3 linked regions of the Lonchura striata genome follow. The protein of the gene in region 3 purifies or fractionates together with the protein of the main gene of each other region. This does not show direct contact. Links are inferred from orthologs where the notes say so. Each region holds a gene or a part of one and is shown on either strand. Other genes may lie near its edges.

Region 1 (7,292 bases), on a different chromosome or scaffold from region 3:
GCCCGTCCCCGGTGTCCCCGGGTGACCCGCCACCCCGGGGTGTCCCCGCAGGAGCGATGACTTCACGGTGGCCATGGAGACGGTGACAGCCTGGGCCTGGGGTCCCCTCAGCTTCCTCACCTTCCTGGCGCTGCTGCGGCAGCACCCGGCGCGCTTCGTGCTGCAGCTCATCGTGTCCCTGGGTACGGCGCGGCCACGTCCCTGTCCCCCCAGACTGTCCCTGTCCCCCCAGGCTGTCCCTGTCTCCTGTCCCTGTCCCCCTCAGGCTGTCCCTGTCCCCCCAGGCTGTCCCTGTCCCCCTCAGACTGTCCCCTGTCCCCCTCAGGCTGTCCCTGTCCCCCCAGGCTGTCCCTGTCCCCCTCAGACTGTCCCCTGTCCCCTGTCTCCTGTCCCTGTCCCCCTCAGGCTGTCCCTGTCCCACTCAGACTGTCCCTGTTCCCCCAGACTGTCCCCTGTCTCCTGTCCCTGTCCCCCCCAGGCTGTCCCTGTCCCGCCAGGCTGTCCCTGTCCCCTGTCTCCTGTCCCTGTCCCCCCAGGCTGTCCCTGTCCCGCCAGGCTGTCCCTGTCCCCTGTCTCCTGTCCCTGTCCCCCTCAGGCTGTCCCTGTTCCCCCAGGCTGTCCCCTGTCTCCTGTCCCTGTCCCCCCCAGGCTGTCCCTGTCCCCCCAGGCTGTCCCCTGTCTCCTGTCCCCCCGTGACTGTCCCTGTCCTCCTCAGACTGTCTCCTGTCCCTGTCCCCCCCAGGCTGTCCCTGTCCCCCTCAGACTGTCCCTGTCTGCTGTCTCCTTTCCCTGTCCCCCTCAGAGTGTCCCTGTCCCCTGTCTCCTGTCCCTGTCCCCCTCAGACTGTCCCTGTTCCCTGTTCCTGTCCCCCTCAGGCTGTCCCTGTCCCCTGTCTCCTGTCCCTGTCCTCCTCAGGCTGTCCCCCCTTGACGTTCCCTGTTCCTGTCCCCCTCAAGCTGTCCCCATCCCCTGGCTGTCCCCGTCCCCAGGCTGTCTCCATCTCCAGTCCCTGTCCCGTGTTCCCCCTGACTGTCCCCATGCCCTGACAGTCCCCATGCCCTGCCTGTCCCTGTCCCCGTGCCCTGCCTGTCCCTGTCCCCATGCCCTGCCTGTCCCTGTCCCTCTGTCCCTGTCCCCATCCCCATGCCCTGCCTGTCCCTGTCCCCATCCCCATGCCCTGCCTGTCCCTGTCCCTGTCCCCATGCCCTGCCTGTCCCTGTCCCTGTCCCCCTGCCCTGCCTGTCCCCATGCCCTGCCTGTCCCCATGCCCTGGCTGTCCCTGTCCCCATGCCCTGCCTGTCCCTGTCCCTGTCCCCATGCCCTGCCTGTCTCTGTCCCCATGCCCTGCCTGTCCCTGTCCCTGTCCCCATGTCCTGCCTGTCCCTGTCCCCATGCCCTGCCTGTCCCTGTCCCCCTGCCCTGCCTGTCCCCCTGCCCTGCCTGTCCCCATGCCCTGCCTGTCCCCATGCCCTGACTGTCCCTGTCCCCATGCCCTGCCTGTCCCTGTCCCTCTGTCCCTGTCCCCATCCCCATGCCCTGCCTGTCCCTGTCCCTGTCCCCATGTCCTGCCTGTCCCTGTCCCCATGTCCTGCCTGTCCCTGTCTCTGTCCCCATGTCCTGCCTGTCCCTGTCCCCATCCCCATGTCCTGCCTGTCCCTGTCCCTGTCCCCATGCCCTGCCTGTCCCTGTCCCCATGCCCTGCCTGTCCCCGCCGCAGGCCAGCTCTACGGGGACGTGCTGTACTTCGCCACGGAGGCGCGGGCGGGCTGGGCGCACAGTGACCCGCGGCCCCTCTACTTCTGGGGCTACTTCGTGGGGCTCAACGGGCTCTGGCTGCTGGTGCCCGGCCTGCTGCTCGTGGACGCCGGGCGGCAGCTGGCCCGGGCCCAGCGCGGCCACGACCGGCCCCGCCACAAGGCCCACTGAGACCCCCACCCAGGGGTGAGGGACCCCCACCCAGGGGTGAGGGACCCCGCCACAAGGCCACTGAGACCCCCACCCAGGGGTGAGGGACCCCCACCCAGGGGTGAGGGACCCCGCCACAAGGCCCACTGAGACCCCCACCCAGGGGTGAGGGACCCCCATGGGGTGAGGGACCCCACCATAAGGCCACTGAGACCCCCACCCAGGGGTGAGGGACCCCCACCCAGGGGTGAGGGACCCCCCATGGGGTGAGGGACCCCCCCACAACAGGCCCTGCCACAAGGCCACTGAGACCCCCACTCAGGGGTGAGGGACCCCCCCATGGGGTGAGGGACCTCCCCATGACCGGCCCCGCCACAAAGGCCCACTGAGACCCCCACCCAGGGGTGAGAGACCCCCACCCAGGGGTGAGGGACCCCCCATGACCCGCCCCGCCACAAGGCCACTGAGACCCCCACCCAGGGGTGAGAGACCCCCACCCAGGGGTGAGGGACCCCCATGGGGTGAGGGACCCCACCATAAGGCCACTGAGACCCCCACCCAGGGGTGAGGGAACCCCCCCAGACTGAGGGACCCCCCCTCAGCATCGGGGAACCCCCCCGTGGGAAGGTTCAGCACCGGGAGGGTCCTGGAGATGAATTTTGGGACCCCCCCAAAAAAGCTCAGGGAGAGCGGTCGGAGCCCCCCGTGTTCCCCACGGGGACCTCCCCCTCGTTTTTGGGGGTCTCAGCTTTGTTCTCGGGGTCCCCACCTAAATTTGGGGCATCCCCACCTCGTTTTTGGGGGTCTTCCGTGGGAATGTCCCTCGTTCCTGGGGGGCAGGGATGGGTTTGAATAAAGGAGCTGGAAATGGAGCTCGGGCTCTGCTTTTGGAGGTTTTTTGGGGGGTTCTGATGGGTTTTGGGGGGCTTTGGGGGGGTTCTGGCACATTTTTGGGGTACCTGGAGGGTTTTTGGGGTCTCTTGATGGATTTGGGGTAGTACTGAGGAGTTTTTGGGGAGTCCTGGGGGGGTTTTGGGTGGTCCTGGTGAGTTTTGGGGGTTTCTGGTGAGTTTTTGGGGTTCCTGGGGGTTTTTTGGGGGGTCCTGGGCGGTTTCTGGGGGGTCCTGGGGGGGTCTTGGGGGGTTTTGGGGGGTCCTGGTTAGTTTTGGGGGTTTCTGGTGAGTTTTTGGGGTTCCTGGGGGGGGTCCTGGGGGGTTGGACCACGTGGGAGGGCGGGGAAGGGGCGGGGCTTGTGGGTGATTGACAGATGAGTGGGGTCCTCAAAGGGGCGGGATCCCAGCTGGGCTCCGCCCCTGCCGCGCCTGAGCCAATAGGAAATTAGGTCGTTCGCTGTAGCCAATAAGGTGGCGACGTGGGCGGGGTTTAAGCCCGCGCCAATCAACGCTCGGCGTCTCCTCGCTGCTCCCGCCCAGCGATGATTGACGTGCCGCCACCCAATCAGCGCTCACGTTTACACCGATCCACCCCTCCCCTCTCCGCTCAACCGGCACCTCCACCAACCAATCACCTCCCTCCCCCCTCCCCTCCCTCCCCCAAAACCAACCAATCACCGCCCGTCCCTCCCCGCCTCGCCCAATCCGCGCTCTCCCCTTCCATCCCCATGGCAACGCCCATCCCGCCTCCCCTCACGGAGGCGGAGGAGAAGAAAGGCGGGACTTCCTCCCGGCTGCGGACCAATCGGAGCGCTCCTTCTCCCGCGGCAGCCAATGGCGCGGCGCGCCGCGGGCGAGGCGGAAGCGCGCGCGGGGTCGGAGGTGGCGGCTGTTGATGTTGACACGGCCCCGGCGGCCGCAGCGCCCGCGGCCCCTCAGCGCCGGGGCGGCCCCGGCCCCGCCGCCGCCGCCGCCGCCGCCGCGCCCCGGCCCCGCCGCGCCCCGCGCCGCGCCGCGCGCCCCCGGCCCGCCCCCCGCCCCCGCCCCATGCGCGCCCCGCCATGACGATCCTCCCCAAGAAGAAGCCGGTACCGGCTCCCGACGGCGACGGCGACTCCGGCCCGGACGCGGGGCCCGAGCGCGGAGCGGACGCGGGGCCCGAGCGAGGCCCCGGAGGCGTCGGCGAAGCCGGCGGCCCCGGCGGCGTGGGGGGGCCGCGGCCTCGCGCCTCGCCGCCGCCGCCGCTGCGGGGCTGGGCCGCGGCCGCCGGGTCCCCCCCGCCCGCGGGGCCCGGCGGCGCCGGTAGCGGCGGGCCCGGCTCGGCCGACGGCCCCGCGGCGCTGCTGGGGCTGGAGGCGGCGGCGCTGGGGCTGCCCGAGCCCCGCGGGCCCGGCGGCTGCGGCGGCGGCGGCGGCGGCCCCGGGCACAGCAAGCGGCGGCGGCGCGGCGGGGCCGGGCCCAGCGGCGGCGGCCCCGCGGGACCGGGCCCCGGCGGCATCGCGCTCGGCCTGGGGCTGGGCCCCGGCTGCGGCAGCCCCGGGCCCGACGAGGCGGGCGGCGGCTACAACAGCGAGGACGAGTACGAGGCCGGCAGGGTGGAGATGGACCCGGCCACGGCCGAGCAGGTGCGGGGAGAGCGGCGGGGACAGCGGGGACAGCGGGGGGACAGCGGGAGATACCGGGGGAACAGCGGGAGATACCGGGGGGACAGCGGGGAGGACTGGGGGGACAGCGGGGAGACACCGGGATTAGCGAGGGGACAGCGCGGGGACATCCGGGGACACCGGGGAGGGACCGGGCTACAGGGGAGGGGACCGGGGATACCGGGGGGACACGAGGGAGCACCGGGAGACACCGGGAGACACCGGGGAGCACCGGCGGGGACAGCGCGGGGGCATCTGGGGATACCGGGAGTAGCGAGGGGACACCGGGGGGACACCGGGACGCGGGGGAGGGCCGGGGGGGGACACCGGGAGATACCGGGGGGACAGCGAGGGACACTGGGGGGACACTGGGGAGGACTGGGGGACACTGGGTGACATCAGGGGATGTCGGGGGGACACCGGGAGGACACCGGGGGTCCTGCCGGGGTTCGGTGTCCCCGATGTTGCCGCCCCCCCCCATGCGGGGTTGTCGCCGTCCCCATTTTGCTGCCGTTTGTTCCCAAATTGTCCCCAAATTGTCCCCAAATTGTCCCCGCTTTGGGTGCCCCATCCCCCGCTTTGGGACCCTTCCCTGTCCCCCAAAGTTTTCCCCCCCACCCCCCCCATTCCCAGTGTCCCCTCTCGGTGACACCCCCGGGACCCCCCCATTGGACCCCCACCCCTCATCCCCTGTGGCTGCCTCAGTTTCCCCCTCTCATACCCCCCCCAAATAACCCGGGGGACCCCCCAAATCCTTAAAGGACCCCCCCCATCCCCAAGAACCCCCCTGAACCCCCCGTTTTTGGCCCCCACCCCTCATCCCCTGTGGCTCCCTCAGCTCCCCCCAACTCGTACCCCCCCCAATGACCCAGGGGACCCCCAGGGACCCCCCAAATGGCCCAAGGGACCTCTAAACCCCCCCAGGACCCCCCCCCATCCTTAAGAACCTCCCTGACCCCCCCACCTTTTTCCCCCCATTGTGACCCCACCCCTCATCCCCTGTGGCTCCCTCAGCTCCCCTCATCCTGTGCCCCCCCCAATGACCCGAAGGACCCCCAGGGACCCCCCAAATGCCCCGAGGGACCCCCGAATGTCCCGAGGGCCCCCCGGGACCCCCCCGAGCCCGGCTGTGTCTCCAGCAGGAGCACCGGTTCGAGAAGGCGCTGCGGGAGAAGAAAGGCTTCATCATCAAGCGCATGAAGGAGGATGGGGCCTGCCTGTTCCGGGCCGTGGGTGAGCCCCGAAACCATCCCGAATCCCCCAAAAATCCCCCCAAAAATCCCCCACAGACCCCCCCAAAAATCCCCCCAAAAATCCCTCCAAAAAATCCCCCCCAAAAATCCCCCCAAAAAATCCCCCACAGACCCCCCCAAAAATCCCCCCAAAAATCCCCCCAAAAATCCCCCCAAAAATCCCCCCAAAAATCCCCCACAGACACCCCCAAAAATCCCCCCAAAAATCCCCCCAAAAATCTCCCCAAAAATCCCCCACAGACCCCCCAAAAATCCCCCCCAAAAATCCCCCCAAAAATCCCCCCAAAAATCCCTCCAAAAAATCCCCCCCAAAAATCCCCCCAAAAATCCCCTCAAAAATCCCCCACAGACCCCCCCCAAAAATCCCCCCCAAAAATCCCCTCAAAAATCCCCTCAAAAATCCCCTCAAAAATCCCCCAAAAATCCCCCCCAAAAATCCCCCACAGACCCCCAACTGTCATCTGCATGTCCCCCCAATGTCACCTGCCCGTCCCCCCCCCAATGTCACCTGCCCGTCCCCCCCCAATGTCACCTGCATGTCCCCCCAATGCCCCCTGCCCATCCCCCCCAATGTCACCTGTGTCCCCCCAATGTCACCTCTGTGTCCCCCCAATGTCACCTGTCCGTCCCCCCCAATGTCACCTGTCCATCCCCCCCAATGTCACCTGTGTCCCCCCAATGTCACCTGTGTGTCCCCCCAGCCGATCAGGTGTACGGAGACCAGGACATGCACGAGGTGGTGAGGAAGCACTGCATGGACTACCTGGTGAGGAACTGGGGAACTGGGATGGACTGGGATGGACTGGGAGGGGACTGGGATCGACTGGGGAAAACTGGGATGGAACTGGGAGGGACTGGGGAGGGCAGTGGTGGGCACTGGATGGCACTGGGAGGGAATTGGGATGGACTGGGAGGAACTGGGATGGACTGGGAGGGTGCTCAGAGCCCTGGGGGGAGCAGGCTGCTGTTCCCTCCCCCAGTGTCCCCAGGGCTGTCCCAGTGTGTCCCTCCTCAGCCTGTCCCAAATGTCCGTGTCTCCACTGTCCCCAACGTCCCCGTGTCCCCAGCCTGTCCCTGTGTCCCCAATGTCCCCCTCGTGTCTGTGTCCCCACTGTCCCCAGCCTGTCCCCAGTGTCCCCAGTGTCCCCAGCCTGTCCCCAGTGTCCCCAGTGTCCCCAGTGTCCCCATGTCCCCACTGTCCCCAGCCTGTCCCCAGTGTCCCCAGTGTCCCCATGTCCCCACTGTCCCCAGCCTGTCCCCAGTGTCCCCATGTCCCCAGCTGTCCCCAATGTCCCCAATGTCTTCAGCCTGTCCCCACTGTCCCCAGCCTGTCCTGTGTCCCCAGCCTGTCCCTAATGTCTCCAGCCTGTCCCCGTGTCCACAATGTCCCCAACATCCCTGTGTTCCCAGTGTCCCCAGCTGTCCTGTGTCCCCAATGTCCCCCCCGTGTCCGTGTCCCCAGCCTGTCCCCACTGTCCCCATGTCCCCAATGTCCCCAATGTCCCCACCATCCCCAATGTCCCCACTGTCCCCATGTCCCCACCGTCCCCAGCCTGTCCCCGTGTCCCCACCATCCCCAATGTCCCCACCATCCCCAC
Region 2 (7,994 bases), on a different chromosome or scaffold from region 3:
GCAACTCCAGAAATGGAAACACTCCAAGTGAGCAGTTTCTTTCCCAAAATGGGGATTCTTCTCTCCTTTGGATGGAAAACTGTAGACAGGGGAAATATTATCTCATTGTACTGTGAAGGAGAGCCATTTATTAACTGTGGGTACCAAATTTAACTCTGGGTATTTTTAATAGCAGTTCTGATGTGAATAGAAATGCTTGGACACTTTTCCTTGCAATGTCAGGAATCTGCATCACAGAATTATGTCATAGTGTGAGAAACAGCCACTGAAATCAACTACAGGAGATAAAAGTGAAACCAGCTAGCCTAAATTCATGAGAAATTCATTCCAGGGGCACAGATTATATGAAATGGCTCCTTATCTCAGCTATATTTGCAACATGTGAACGCTTTAAAAGAGCCATCCTATTGCCTCCCACGCCTGCCAAGTTATGCAAGGGTGGCTTTTCTCACGTGCTCCGGGGCTCCCAATGCACCCACGCTTTGCTGCCGGGAGCCCCGCGGTGGGGCAATCTCCAAATACCGGGCACTGACTGCTCTGCACGGCAAAATGAGGAGGCCACGCTGAAGCGAGGTGTTGTTTATGGGCTTCTCATTGTTTTCTCGAGCAGGAGAGTCGCTTTTATTTGCTAGGAGCAAGAAGGCAATGAGGCACAGAGGGATGTATGTGCCTGACTGCATTTGGTGTTGCACACTGGCCGTGCAGCAGCCACAAACCATCACGGCATGTGCTTGGGAATGTTAGCTGAAAATCCAGGAACGTGCTCCTTGGATTGTGATCCGAATGTTCTCCTTTCCATTACACCAGCCTCTCTACCACTGCTGTTTCCCTTAACCAAGGCAAATGAGGACATAATGAAGTTCAAGTGATACCAGCTATTGCTTTCTGACTGGTAATTTCCCAGGACTTCTGCAAGCTTCTCCCATCCCAGGTGAAACTGTAATTAAGACTGACCTTTGAAAGCTCCCACTTACAATCCTATCTGCTGGTTCTGCTTAATTTGCTCCCTTGCCTTACATATAAAACTGTGAATAATTGCTGCAGTTTATTAAAGTGCATTTCTTTCAGAGCACTGAGATAATTTAGTTTCAATGCATCCGACAGTACATAATAAGTATGAGTGTTTTGAGCAGGTCATGCTAATGAAAAATGAGTGGGGAGTCGTGTATCTGACTGTTCTTATTTTGTACCAGTGTCACTTGGTTTTAGAGACAGCAGGTTTAGAGGATGACGCCAGTTGGGAATCCTGCACATCAGGCAGGTCTCTGGCTGTGAAAAAAATGTACAGTAGTGATAGAAATATCCAAACCATAGCTCTTACAAATGAGCTGAGACTAAAGACATCACTACAGGCCTTTAAAAATTAGATTTTGGGGTTTAAATGTGTAAATTTTGTAAATGCATTTTGGTTCTTTGTTACCTCTTCACAAACAACATGCGTTTGTTTCATATTCAGATGGAGGGCTTTTGTTGCTTTTTTTTTTTTTCTCCTAAAACATAAACACTAGAAACTGGCCTCTGCCTCTGACAAAAGTAGAGATTTTTACAAAATTATATAAAGGAAAACTAAACAAGTGAACTTGGATCTGTGGAACTGCTAATAAAATTGAATGAGTTGGCAGTGTTGTGCTCTTAAGGCCTGAACTTCTGATATTGTAATCAGAAATACCAAGATATGAGCGTATTTAATTACCAGTTTTGTTTCACTTTCAAACTTGAAGTGTAGCATATAATCAAGTTAAATATAAAGGAGAATCAACTGAAGGAACACAATGAAGATGGCTTCACCTGAGGCTAGGAGCAAGGCTTGGAAAGAGGGCTGTGGAGGGTTTAGGGGTTTGGCTGTCGAGGTTTCTTGCCTTGTGTTGGTCTGTGCAGAAGAGTGTGGACTCAGGCTGGAGCACGGTGTAGGATCCCATCCTGATACAGGACTGCAAAGCTGGCCAGGAAAACAGCACCCACCTCCCTCTCCCAAAATATGCACCCTGAGCACAGTGTGAGGCCCAGTGCACCAGATAAATCAAATCTCACCGTTCACCAGGAAAAAGAACTGAAGGCTTTTCTACTGGATTTGTATCCCGGGTGATTTATTATTTAATTTAAACACATAGTTTCCAGCTGTTTCTTTTTGCAGGCAATCACCTAGGCTACATTAACCCGATGGTGATGTACTGGTCCCAGGGAACCCTGGAGAGAGATCACAGCACTCCGAGGTGTGAACTTCCCCCATTTATCTTGATGGGGTGTGCACAGCCTCGCCAGGGAAGCGGGTCCAAACACGTTAACCCCTTCATTGCCAGCCTCCACCGTGGAAAGGGCTGCTTAGACTCGGAATCTCCCGAGCTGGAAGGGACGCACAAGGATCACTGAGTCCATCTCCCACTTAGGACAACTCCAAGAATTCCCCTGGGCTTAAGAGCGTTGTCCAAATGCTTCTCTGGCAGGTTTGGGGCCACGATCACTTTCACAGGGTTGTAGAGTGGTGTGTCCTATACGAGCCTTCCTCTCGTGGGAGAGCCTCCCGTGTCCCAAGGGATGCCAGCGTGGAAGGGAGTGAGGGAAGTTCAGCCTCCTGGACGGTGGTACTGCAGGTTATAGGCCTGGAGATCATAAGGTTTTTTTTATCATATAGCTCGTTGCAACAGATGGGGCCACACAGGTGTTATGGTTTAATGTGCTTTGAACAAGCTGTGTATTTCCCTGCCTCTTGGCTTCTGACAGCAGAGCAGGGACTCCCTGCAGGCTCCAGGATAACCCTGTGGAAGACTGGGGACAAAAAGGATCGCACGGAGTGGCTGCGTTTGGGAGGCGCCTCTGGGAACACCCAGCCTCCTCCAGCAGGTCGCACAGGTTTGTGTTCAGGTGGGTTTCGAATAGCTGCAGAGAAGGAGGCTCCGTGCAGCAGATGGGAAGCGACTCCTGGGAGACAGCTCGAAGCTGCTGCCTCGGCTGCAGGTTCCCTCCGTGGAGTGAGAGGTGTTTGACGTTCGAGCACAAGGTTTTGCTCGTCACTAATGGCTCTGGCACTGCTACCGCGGCAGTCAGGACCTGAGATACCAAACTGGGAAGCTCCCTGCTCCTTCCGAGCTCTCCCACGCGGCTGTCAGCAGGCTCCTGCCGGCAGCACAGCGCTAAACCTCTCGTGTGCCGGTTTCGGGGGCTCTGCTTTGCGACCAGACGTGCTTGCAAACGCCTGCGAAGGTGGCAGCTGCGGGAAGGGGCCGGGCTGCCTTCCCCTGCACAGGGCTGGCTGCAGCTGCAGCGTGCCGGGGATGGTGGAGGGTCCCTTTCTTGTGGCAGGCACAGCCACCTGAGCAAGGGCTTCTTGGGGAGACAAAGATGTGAGGTTTGAAAGTGAAATTGCTGCTTCAAAGGAAGAGCTTTTAGGAATTTCTAATGTTGGAAGCAGGAGGTGCCAGCCCGCTCCCAGGCTGTCTCAAAAGGCACAGCCCTGCAGCCCTGGATGGCAGCAAGGAGGGGCTCAAACCCAGGGCAAAGCCTGCTTTCACCTCATTCTTGTGAACCAGGGGCACACACCTCTTCCTGATGTCTGAAACAGCTCTTTCATTATGTTTATATTTAAAAATCTAACAGTGACTAAAGCAGTTTGCATAATAAACAGCTCCAGAAATATTTGCCTGCACTCGGTAAAAAAAGGAAGTCCTTAGATCCTCTTCTGAAGACGGTAAGAAAGTGACAGAGTTTTCCCTTTGCAGGATATAAATATGCAGTGCAAATAGGTGGCTGCTGTCACTGCTTACATTTTGATGTATCTCTTCAGATAGCCTGGCAGCGCCAGGTTATTTTAGTGTCAAATCAAAGCTCTGGTTGTGTAAAGAAGCTGAGGAAAGGTACAGTCTGTGTTGCAGCAGAGGATGGAAGCTCCAAGAAGACTGGAGGCAGTCCTGTGAGACACGTACCAGCCATGCATACTAAACCTGCCATTTAGTACACCGACAAGAAAACCCGTTTATAAGCGCTGCTGCGGAACAGAAATAAATGTCTTCAGGTTTGGGCTGAGGAAGGAGGGGTGTTTTTCTAAGCAGGCACGTGCTTCACTATCACATTACCTAAAAGAAAATAAAGCTTTGGCCCCCTTTTACCTTCCTTTTTTTTTTTTTTTTTTTCAGGAGAAAAAATTTAAGACTCTGCTATGCCAGAAGAAAAACCTTGCGGGCTGATCCCTTTTTAATGCTCTTGTATGCAATGCACCAGTGCTGTCCTTGACTAAAAGGAGTCAAGTGAGCCCAAACCTGCCTGATGTGCTTCCCCCCCAGCATCTCCCCGTGGTTCCTGCGGCCTCCGCACTCCAGCCTGGCGCGGTGGCGGGCAGAGACCGGCAGCGAGGGTCAGCCGCACAGATAACACAGCCTGATAACGAGGGGTCTGCGGGACAGGTGCGCGCACCCGCCCGCCTCCCCTCACTAGGACATGCTCTGACTGCTCATGAGCTGGTGCCTGCGGGGGTCTGGCGCGGCGGGACTCCGGGAGAAGCCCCGAGGGCCGCACAGCCGCGGGGGCTGTCACGGAGGGGTTACCGCGGGCAGCAGCGGCAGCGCCGCCCCTCAGAGCGGCCCGCCCGCCATGCGGCCCTGGGGGCGGGGCCTGCGCGGGGGCGGGGCTTGTATGCAAATAACCGGCGGGGCGGAGAGGTAGCGCATGCGCGCTGTGCGCACGGAGCGGCACGAGTTCTTACACAATGCACCGGGCCGGGCGGCCGCGGGGAGGGGGCGGGGCTTAACATGTAAATGAGCGCCCGGTTTTGCCGCGCCATTGGAGGAGGGAGAGGAAAGGGCGGGACCGGATATGTAAAGCAGCGAGCCGGCGTAGCGCATGGTGGAGGGGCAGCGGGTCGGAGCGGTCACGCCGGCGGGGCGTGGCCTGCATGCAAATCATGCCGTCTCTGGGGGCGTGGCTCGCATGCAAATCAGCGCGCGGCCGCTTCCCGCCCCCTGCCCGCCAGGCCGCTCCCCGCCGGTTTAAAAGGCGCCGCGCATGCGCAGAGCGCCGAAAGCGGGACTTAGTCTGTTACACAACCGCGCTGCGCTCCCCGCGTCCCGCTCCGCCCGGCGCTCCTCTGCCCGCCGCTCCTCCCGCTCCGCCCGGCCGCCCGCGCCTCCGGCATGAGCGGGGACCAGCTGCACAACGATTCCCAGGTGAGCGCCCCGTGGCCGCCCGCGGGGCGCGCTCCCGGGGGACCCCCGCCGCGGTGCTCGCATCTCCCCGTGCCGGCCCTGGGCTGGCCGCCTCGCCACCCCCCGTAACCCCAGCGGGGGGACCGTGCCCTGCGGCCGCCCCCATAAGTCTGGGCAGAGCCCTGTCAGCCCAGCTGTCCCCCCGCGGTGGGATGGGGGGCGGCGGGAGCGGGGACCCGCGTGTGACCCCCGGGCTGGGCTGAGAAGGGGAGGGGGCGGCTGCCACGCTTCCCCGGCTCGCTGCCCTTTGGGGGGTCGGGAGGGGTCCGCTCATGAGCTGCGCGGGGGCCGGGGAGGCGCTTCACCGGTTCCCCCATCACCTTCCGCATCGCGCCGGGCTTTTCTCCTTTCGTATTTAATTCCCCTAAAAATGAGGGTGAGGGCGGGGGCGGGGGTCCCCCGGAGCGCCGCGGAGCCGGGCGTGCTGACGGTGTGTCCCTGTGTGCTCTCCCCGCAGATCGAGGCGGATTTCCGAGCGAACGGTGAGTGCGGCCCCGGCGCGCCCCTCGCACAGACATGGCGTCCCAGAGACTAAGTCCCGGCTCCGCGCTCACCGGCCCCATTGTTCCCATCGAGCTGCCAAAAGCGCCCCTTTCCCGCCGGGATCGGCCGCCCCCGACCCCCGCCGCCCCGAGTGGGGGCACCGCAGGGCCCCGATCCGAGCGCAGCGGCTCTGCCGGGGTCGCCTTTGGGCCCCGATTCCTCCCTGGAAAGTCGCCTTGTCGACGGTCGGGACTTAGTCTCTGCGCCATTTTCTTTTTCTCTCTCTCTCTCTCTGTGGCTTTTCTCTCCTTCTCCTCCTCCCCGAGCTGCCGCCGAGCCGCCTCTGCAGAGGCACCGGGCCGCCATCCCCGCCACCAGCCCCTTGTAACCGAGGGGAAAGCAAAGTTTTTAGTTTAAAAAAACCAAAAATTAAAAATCCCAAGTCGCCTTTTTTTTTTTTTTTTTTTTTTTTTAATCGCAGGCTCCCTCCCCCCACTGCTCCCCGTCTCTGTTCCTTTGAGGGAATCCCTTCCTTCCCCTAAAATGAAAGGTGATTGCAACATGTTGCTCTTTAAAAGAAGCTGCTGCATCCATTTTAAGATCAGTCTTATGTTTTTTTCTTGGCTATTTAAGTGATGTGACTTTACCTTGTTAGATGGGTTTTTTAAAATTAAAATAAAGACCTACTTTAAAGAACCTAACAGACCATAGTGTAGACAATTCCAGAAAGGTAGACAGCATCACTTCAGGGACTTTGCAAGCTAACTTCATTTTGTTCAGAAACATTTACAAGCGTCCTGTAGTCTAATATATATATATATTTATATTTATATATATATGTGCTTACATATAATTTTTTGTATATGTATATATTTATATATTAATATATATAAATATATGTCTATATGTATATTTATGTTCATATATGTATATATACATACAATATTGTATTTTCTAATCAGCCTGATGACTGCTAATTTTTTCTGATAATTTATTCATTTTTATAGGAAGCAAGCTGATTGCAAGCCTGCCTCACTTGATAGTTGTCAAATTGAAGGGCTTAAGTAGGGTGAAGGGGAGTTGAGGGTATACAACCAACCTTTGTGTGTGTGCGTGTTTTACTGTCACTATTTGGGATATGTGAGGAGCTCTGAGCTGTCCCCTGACTGCTGAGATGGTAGAGGACAAAAATGTTGGTTGAAAATATCTGCTTGACTTATAGTTACACTAATTTTTAGAATGCTTTTCTGGATGATGTCCACGTGCCTGGTTGCCTTGTAGGCTACTGCATGTAAATATTTACAGATCTACGCTTGCGAGCACCTTTTCTTCTGTCAGTTCATTGGAATGTGATTGTGTGTGTGCAGCAGGGAGCAGACAGTGTCAAATATGCATGTTTTGAACTCTCTATTTCCATTCTGAATTTATAGCTGGGCTCTATGAATAATTCTTATCAGGAAAAAAGGGGTGCAGTGGATTTCCCAAGATGTACGGGTGTAACTCTTGAAGCAATTTAAATATAAGCATATATAGGAATGCTTGTAGCCTTCTTGTGCTGGAAAATACTTGCTTCATCTAAAGATCATCTTGATTTAGGGAAAAATACTCCTTGGTAAGCTTTAGTTATTTAGTTCTGTTGTACATAGAGGAAACGATGTATATTTCACCTTTTGACTCCATCTTCCAGTGAACCCTTCAGAGGGATTTTTCTCCTCTATTGTGACCATGTGCTGTTTTATTCTTCTAAGAGTTTTAGTCATAGAGCTCTTGAAACTCCTGTGGTTTTTATTTCTACCATGTGTTGAAGGAATTCAATACAGAAATTCAAAGTAAGACACCTTGATGAAAAAACGGAATTCCTGGTAAATCAAGTGCACCCAACAAATCCATACCAGTGTAGGCATCAGCACCCTTTCCCTCCTATTGTAATTATTTGTGGCAGTCATGTAACATCATTGTCATTAATCAGAGGCCCCAAAACCCTTTTCAGCACTGGAAGGTACGTGTAACCCTGTTAGTCTTGCTGTGGGAATAATGCTGAATAGACACTGGACTCTTTGACCTTGTGACCACCCCAGATCTCCCTGAAAATCTGTCACCTCTGCTTGCTCTGAGCCTTGTTTCCTCTGCACAGGAGCTCTTTGCACTGGTGCATCAGGAATCGTCACGCACGGATGTGAGAACAGAGGTTCTCCTTCAGGCAGAGACCTGAGGCTCTTGCTCTTATTTTCTTATTTTCATCTTATTTAATGGCAAAGATTAGGAGTGGGTAGTAGGAATCCCAAATGTGCTGGTTCCCCCCACCCCCCCCCCCAA
Region 3 (7,089 bases):
CTGGGAAACACCAAAAACTGACCAAGGAAACCCAAAAAGAGACAAAGAAACCCCAAAAGAGACCAAAAAAACCCAAAAAGAAGAAAAGAAACCCCAAAATGGACCAGGAAAACCCCAAAAGGAACAAAAAAACCTCAAAATGGATCAAGGACACCCCAAAATGGACAAAAAAAACCAAAAAGGGACAAAGAAACCCAAAAATGGATCATGAAAACCCCAAAAAGGAACAAAAAACCCAAAATGGAACCAAGAAACCCCAAAAAGGAACAAAAAAACCCAAAAAGGAACAAAAAAAAACCAAAAAGGAACAAAAAACCCCAAAAAGGAACCAAGAAACCCCAAAATTAACAAAAATCCCCAAAATTTATGAGGAAAACCCCGAAAGGAACCAGACAAAAATGATGGGAAAGTCCCCAAAAGCAGGAGAGAAACCCCAAAAATGGGGGAATTTACCCCAAAATGGGGAAATTTGCCCCAAAATGGGGGATTTACCCCAAAAATAGGAAATCTAGCTAAAACTGAGAGAATTCAGCCAAAAATGGGGAAATTTATCCTAAAATGGGGGAATTTACCCCAAAAATGGGGGATTTACCCCAAAATGGGGGGGATTTATCCCAAAAATGGAGGATTTTACCCCAAAAATGGGGGATTTACTCCAAAAATGGGGGATTTATCCCAAAATTGGGGGATTTATCCCAAAATTGGGGGGATTTACCTCAAAAATGGGGGATTTACTTTAAAATTGGGAGATTTACCCAAAAAATGGGGGATTTATCCCAAAAAATGAGAAAATTCATCCAAAATTGAGAAAATTTTCCCAAAAATGAAGGGATGCCCCTAAAAATGATAAAATTCAGCCCAAACTGGGAGAATTTGCCCAAAAATGAGAAAATGTACCCAAAAATGAAACCAAAAGGGATTTTGGGGGTTTTCTCAGGAATTTCGGGGTTTTCCTCATGATTTTGGTTTTTTTCCCAGAATTTCGGGATTTTTCACACAGATTTTGGGGTTTTCCTCACGATTTTGTTTTTTTCCCCAAGATTTCAGGATTTTTAAATTTTTCACCAACATTTTTGGAGTTTTCCTCACGAACTTCAAGTTTTTCCTCATGATTTTGTTTTTTTCCCAGGATTTTGGGATTTTACACTGAGATTTTTGGGGTTTTTCTCAGGAATTTCGGGCTTTTCCTCAGGATTTGGGTTTTTTTCCCAGAATTCAGGATTTTCCCCCCAGATTTTAGTTTATTTTCTGTTTTTTTGCCCACCTGCAGCGCCGTGGACTTGGCGTAGACGATCTCCTCGTCCACGCCCACGGCCACCACGATGGCGTCGACGCCGCCGAACTCATCCTCGCCTTTCTGTGGGGCAGGAGACCCAAAATCAGCCAAATTCACCCCAAAATCACCCCTGCAGCAGCCCCAAATTCACCCCAAAATATCCCTGCAACAACCCCGAATTTACCCCAAATTTACCCCAAAATTTCCCCAACACTGACACCGCCAAACTCATCTTTGCCTTTCTGGGGGCAGGCGACCCAAAATCACCCAAATTCACCCCAAAAATTCCCAATTGGCACCCCCAAATTCACCCAAAAAATTCCCCTGAAGCAGCCCCAAATTCACCCCAAAAATTCCTCTGCAGAAACCCCAAATTTACCCCAAAATATCCTCCATCAGCAACCCCAAATTCACCCAATTTCACCCCAAAAAATCCCCTGCAGGAACCCTGAATCCACCCAAAAAAATCCCCTACAGGAGCTCCAAATTCACCCAATTTCACCCCAAAAAATCCCCTACACCAGCCCCAAATTCACCCCCAAAAATCCCCTGCAGCAGCCCCAAATTCCACAAAATTCACCCCAAATTCACTCCAAACCCTCAACATTCCCTCAGCCCCCCCAGATTTCCCTAAACCCCCCAAATTTACCTCAAATGCCCCAAATTCACCCCAAATCCCCCGAATTCACCTCAACCCCTCCAAATTCACCCCAAAACCCCCAAATTCACCTCAAACTGCCAAAAATTTAAACCAAATTCACCCCAAAACCCCCAAACCCCCTCAGGCCCCCCAAATTTACCCCAAACCTACAAAATCCCCCTCAAATTTACCTCAAACTCCCTAAATTTACCCCAAACCCCCCAAATTCACCCCAAACCCCCTAAATTCCCCTCAAACCCCCCAAATCCCACAAATTCATCCCAAATCCCCCTCAAGCCCCCCAAATTTACCCCAAACCACCCAAATCCCCCAAATTTACCCCAAACCCCCCAAATTTACCCCAAACCCCCCAAGTTTCCCTCAAACCCCCTCAAATCTCCCAAATTTCCCTCAAATCCCCCAAATTTCCCTCAACCCCCCCTCAAACCCCCCAAATTTACCCCAAACCCCCCAAATCCACCCCAAATCCCCCTCAAATCCCCCAAATTTCCCTCAAATCCCCCAAATTTCCCTCAAATCCCCCAAATTCCCCTCAAACCCCCTGAAATCCCCCAAATTCCCCTCAAATCCCCCTCAAAGCCCCCAAATTCACCTCAAATCCCCCAAATTTCCCTCAACCCCCCCAAATTTACCCCAAACCCCCCAAATCCCCCTGAAATCCCCCAAGTTTCCCTCAACCCCCCCTCAAACTCCCCAAATTTACCCCCAAACCCCCTCAAACGCCCCAAATTTACCCCAAACCCCCCAAATCCACCCCAAATCCCCCCCAAACCCCCCAAGTTCCCCCCAAACCCCCTCAAACCGCCCAAATCCCCCTGAAATCCCCCAAGTTCCCCTCAAACCCCCCAAATTTCTCTCAAAGCCCCTGAAATCCCCCAAGTTCCCCTCAAACCCCCCCAAATTCCCCTCAAACCGCCCAAATCCCCCTGAAATCCCCCAAGTTCCCCCCAACCCCCCCCCAGCCCCCTCCCCCCGCCCCTCCCCCACCTGCCAGCTGGCGTAGAGCCGCCGCAGCCGCCGCGCGAAGGCCTCGCGGTCCAGGCTCAGCGCCATCAGCGGCCCGGCCGCGGCCCCGCCGGAGCCGGGCGGGGAACCGCCGGGGCGGGGCGGGACCTTCCTCCGCTCGGCCGCCTCCTCCTCCTCCTCCTCCTCCTCCTCCTCCTCCGCCGCCGCCGCTGCCGCTGCCGCCCGTGCCGCGCCGCGGCGCCCGCCGGAAGCGCCGCCTGAGGCGACTTCCGCTTCCGGTGCGCGCGCGAAGGGCGGGAGGCGGAGGAGGAGACGGTGAGGGAGGGGAAAAGAGCGGCCGGGGAGGGGAAAGGGGGAGTTTGGATGAGAAAAAGGAGGAGGAAAATGGGGGGAAAGGGGAAAAAACACACAAAAAAACAAACAAAAAAACAAACAAATGCGGGTGAAATCGGTGAGGGGGGGGAAAAGGAACGGGGGGTCACGTGACGGCGGAGAGGCGGGAAAAGGGGAGCGCGGGGCGCCGGCGTCACGTGACCGCCCCCCCCTCGCGCCTGCGGAGGGGAAAAGGCGGGAAAAGGGGCGGGGCCAGAGGGGTCACGTGATGGGGAGGGAGAAATGGAGGAGGAGAAATGGAGGAGAGGGAGAGAAATGGAGAGGGAGAGAAATGGAGAGGGAGAGAAATGGGGAGGGAGAGAGAGATGGGGAGGGAGAGAGAGATGGGGAGGGAGAGAGAGATGGGGAGGGAGAGGAGCGGAAAGGAAATGGGGAGAGGGAGATGGAGACAGAAATGGAGAGGGAGAGGAAAGGGAGGGAGAAATGGAGAGGGAGAGAGGGAGATGGAGGAGGAGAGAGTGAGGGAGAGAAATGGAGAGGGAGATGGGGAGGGAGATGGAGGGGAAAGGAAATGAGGGAGATGGAGACAGAGAGAAATGGAGAGGGAGAGAGGGAGATGGAGGAGGAGAGAGTGAGGGAGAGAAATGGAGAGGGAGATGGGGAGGGAGATGGAGGGGAAAGGAAATGAGGGAGATGGAGACAGAGAGAGAAATGGAGAGGGAGAGGAAATGGAGAGGGAGGGAGGGGAGGGGAAAGGAAATGGAGAGAGGGAGATGGAGAGGGAGGAGGAGAGAGGGAGAGGGAGATGGAGAGAGGAAAATGGAGGGGGAGATGGAGGAGGAGGGAGATGGAGAGGGAGAGAAAGGAGGGAAATGGAGATGGGAAGAGGGAGATGGAGACAGGGAGAGATGGAAATGGGAGATGGAGGAGGAGGAGAGGGAGAGAAATGGAGAGGGAGATGGAGAAGGAAATAGGGAGAGGGAGGGAGATGGAGGGGGAGAGGACAGAGAGCACCAAAACGAGGCAAAAATACAGAAAAAACAGAAAAAAATACCCAAAGGAAAAAAAGAAAAAAAAAAACCCAAAAAAGAAACAAAAGAAAAACAAAAAACACCAAATAAAAAATAACCAAACAAAATGGAAGAAAAAAGCCCGAGAAAAGTTTTTAAGAAACCCCAAGGAAGTAAAAAAAATGAAAAAAAAAAAAAACTATGAAAATTTAAAAGGATGAGAAAAAATGTAAAAAGCCTTAAGAAATGTGGAAAGATGAGAAAAAACAAAAAGGCCTGAAAAAAATTAACAAAAAACACCCCCCAAAAAAAACCCCAGCAAACAAAAAAAACACCTTTAAAAAAACCCAAAATAACAAAAACAAAAAAAGGAAAAAAAGCAAAACCCCTCCAAAAAATTAAAAAAGAAAACAAAAAAAAAAAACCACCAAAAAATTCTTTAAAAACTCCGAAAAACACCAAAAAATACCCACAAAAAAAAATTTAAAAAACCCCCAAAAAACGTAAAAAACTGAAAAAACGCCAAAAAAAAAGAAAAAAAAACCCTCTAAAAAAATTTACAAAAAAACCCAAAAAAACCCCAGCAAACAAACAAAAAAAACCTTGAACCCCCTCTCCAAAAAAAAACCTCACAAAAAACTGGGACAAAAAAAACCAACAAAAAAAACTCTGAAAAATTTTATAAAAAACCCCAAAACCCCCAAAAAACCCAAAAAAATAAACCGGAAAAAAAAAACTAAAAACCAAAGCAAGAAAAAAACAAAGCAGGAAAATCCTGAGGGGGAGACGTGAGAGCGGGGATCGTTAATTACCAATTAATTCATTAATTAATTGGGGTGGCTATCGGGGGGCGGGACAAACGAAGGGAGGCCAGGGAGGAGATTAATTAATGAGGAGGTTAATGAGAAGGGTAATGAGGAGCTTAATTAATGAGGAGGTTAATGAGAAGGGTAATGAGGAGGTTAATAAGGAGGTTAATTAATGAGGAGGTTAATAAAGAGGTTAATTAATGAGGAGGGTAATGAGGAGGTTAAAGAATGAGGAGGTTAATTAGGGGGGTAATGAGGAGGGTAATTAATGAGGAGGTTAATTAATGAGGAGAGTAATAAGGAGGGAAATGAGGAAGTTAATGAAGTTAATTAATGATGAGGGTAATTAGGAGGTTAATGGGGAGATTAATGAGAAACGTAATGAGGTTAATGAGGAGGTTAATTAATGAGGGTAATGAGGAGGTTAATTAGGAGGTTAATTAATGAGGAGGGTAATGAGGAGGTTCATTAACGAGGAGGGTAATGAGTCGGTTCATTAATGAGGAGGGTAATGAGGAGGTTAATTAATGAGGAGGGTAATGAGATAGTTAATTAAGAGGTTAATTAACGAGGAGGGTAATGAGAAGGGTAATGAGGTGGTTAATGAGGAGGGTAATTAACAAGGAGGGTAATGAGGAGGTGAATTAACGAGGAGGTTAATTAACAAGGAGGGTAATGAGGAGGTGAATTAACGAGGAGGTTAATTAACAAGGAGGGTAGTGAGGAGGTGAATTAATGAAGAGGTTAATGAGGAGGGTAATTAATGAGGAGGGTAATTAACGAGGGTAATGAGGAGGGTAATTAATGAGGGTAATTAACAAGGAGGGTAATGAGGAGGTTAATGAGGTTAATTAATGACGAGGTTAATGAGGAGGGTAATTAATGAGGGTAATTAACAAGGAGGGTAATGAGGAGGTGAATTAACGAGGAGGTGAATTAATGAAGAGGTTAATGAGGAGGGTAATTAATGAGGAGGTTAATTAACGAGGAGGTTAATGAGGAGGGTAATTAACGAGGAGGGTAATTAACGAGGAGGGTAATGAGGAGGGTAATTAATGAGGAGGGTAATTAACAAGGAGGGTAATGAGGAGGTGAATTAACGAGGAGGTGAATTAATGAAGAGGTTAATGAGGAGGGTAATTAACGAGGAGGGTAATTAACGAGGAGGGTAATGAGGAGGTGAATTAATGAAGAGGTTAATGAGGAGGGTAATTAATGAGGAGGGTAATTAACGAGGAGGGTAATGAGGAGGGTAATTAATGAGGAGGGTAATTAACGAGGAGGGTAATGAGGAGGTTAATGAGGTTAATTAATGACGAGGTTAATGAGGAGGGTAATTAATGAGGAGGGTAATTAACAAGGAGGGTAATGAGGAGGTGAATTAACGAGGAGGGTAATTAACGAGGAGGTTAATGAGGAGGGTAATTAACGAGGAGGGTAATTAACGAGGAGGGTAATGAGGAGGGTAATTAATGAGGAGGGTAATTAGGAGGGTAATTAACGAGGAGAGTAATTAACAAGGAGGGTAATGAGGAGGGTAATTAACGAGGAGGTTAATTAACAAGGAGGGTAATGAGGAGGGTAATTAACGAGGAGGCTAATTAACAAGGAGGTTAATAAGGAGGCTCATTAATGACGAGGTTACCGCCGCCGTTACCTAACGAGCAGTCCAGCTAATTACCGTTTAATTAGGCACCAGAGCACGCCCCGCTGCGTTTCCAACCTTTTATTAAAAAACAACCCCCGAAGCCCCGCCCCCGGCCCCGCCCCACGACACAGACACTTTACATATTTATAAATATTCATCAGGGGGCGGGGCTACTCCGAGTCCGAGGCGGGCGCCAGCATGGGGTCGGCCAGCAGGGGGCAGCAAGCACTTCCGGTCTGCCCCGCCGCCTCTTCCGGCGCCGGCCGGAAGTGAGGGGGCGTGGCCAGCGCCGCCGGGGCCACGCCCCCCATGAGCGCCGCCATCTTGGAGAGGTCCAGGGCTGGGGGCGGGGCGGGCAGGCACTGGGGGGAAAGTAATTAGAGCCG

The links.
Region 1: the proteins of SUPT16H (region 3) and OTUD5 purify together in Homo sapiens (affinity purification with mass spectrometry; 3 studies listed by BioGRID, with this or other methods). This does not show direct contact. The link is inferred for Lonchura striata from reciprocal best matches to the Homo sapiens genes SUPT16H and OTUD5.
Region 2: the proteins of SUPT16H (region 3) and TOP1 fractionate together in Homo sapiens (co-fractionation; 3 studies listed by BioGRID and IntAct, with this or other methods). This does not show direct contact. The link is inferred for Lonchura striata from reciprocal best matches to the Homo sapiens genes SUPT16H and TOP1.

Annotation. Positions count from the first base shown.
Region 1 is NC_134638.1:1,035,957-1,043,248, forward strand, and holds the start of OTUD5 (OTU domain-containing protein 5), read left to right. Parts: upstream 1-4,275; 5' UTR 4,276-4,399; coding exon 4,400-4,423; intron 4,424-5,580; coding exon 5,581-5,674; intron 5,675-6,395; coding exon 6,396-6,460; intron 6,461-7,292. Other genes in the region: EBP (3-beta-hydroxysteroid-Delta(8),Delta(7)-isomerase), read left to right, coding at 52-182, 1,718-1,926. UniProt on the Homo sapiens protein: Deubiquitinating enzyme that functions as a negative regulator of the innate immune system. Has peptidase activity towards 'Lys-48'- and 'Lys-63'-linked polyubiquitin chains. Can also cleave 'Lys-11'-linked ubiquitin chains (in vitro).
Region 2 is NC_134619.1:9,817,519-9,825,512, reverse strand, and holds the start of TOP1 (DNA topoisomerase 1), read left to right. Parts: upstream 1-4,991; 5' UTR 4,992-5,123; coding exon 5,124-5,156; intron 5,157-5,652; coding exon 5,653-5,677; intron 5,678-7,994. UniProt on the Homo sapiens protein: Releases the supercoiling and torsional tension of DNA introduced during the DNA replication and transcription by transiently cleaving and rejoining one strand of the DNA duplex.
Region 3 is NC_134641.1:1,210,495-1,217,583, forward strand, and holds the start of SUPT16H (FACT complex subunit SPT16), read right to left. Parts: upstream 3,041-7,089; 5' UTR 2,991-3,040; coding exon 2,925-2,990; intron 1,358-2,924; coding exon 1,265-1,357; intron 1-1,264. Other genes in the region: chromodomain-helicase-DNA-binding protein 8, read right to left, coding at 6,874-7,065. UniProt on the Homo sapiens protein: Component of the FACT complex, a general chromatin factor that acts to reorganize nucleosomes. The FACT complex is involved in multiple processes that require DNA as a template such as mRNA elongation, DNA replication and DNA repair.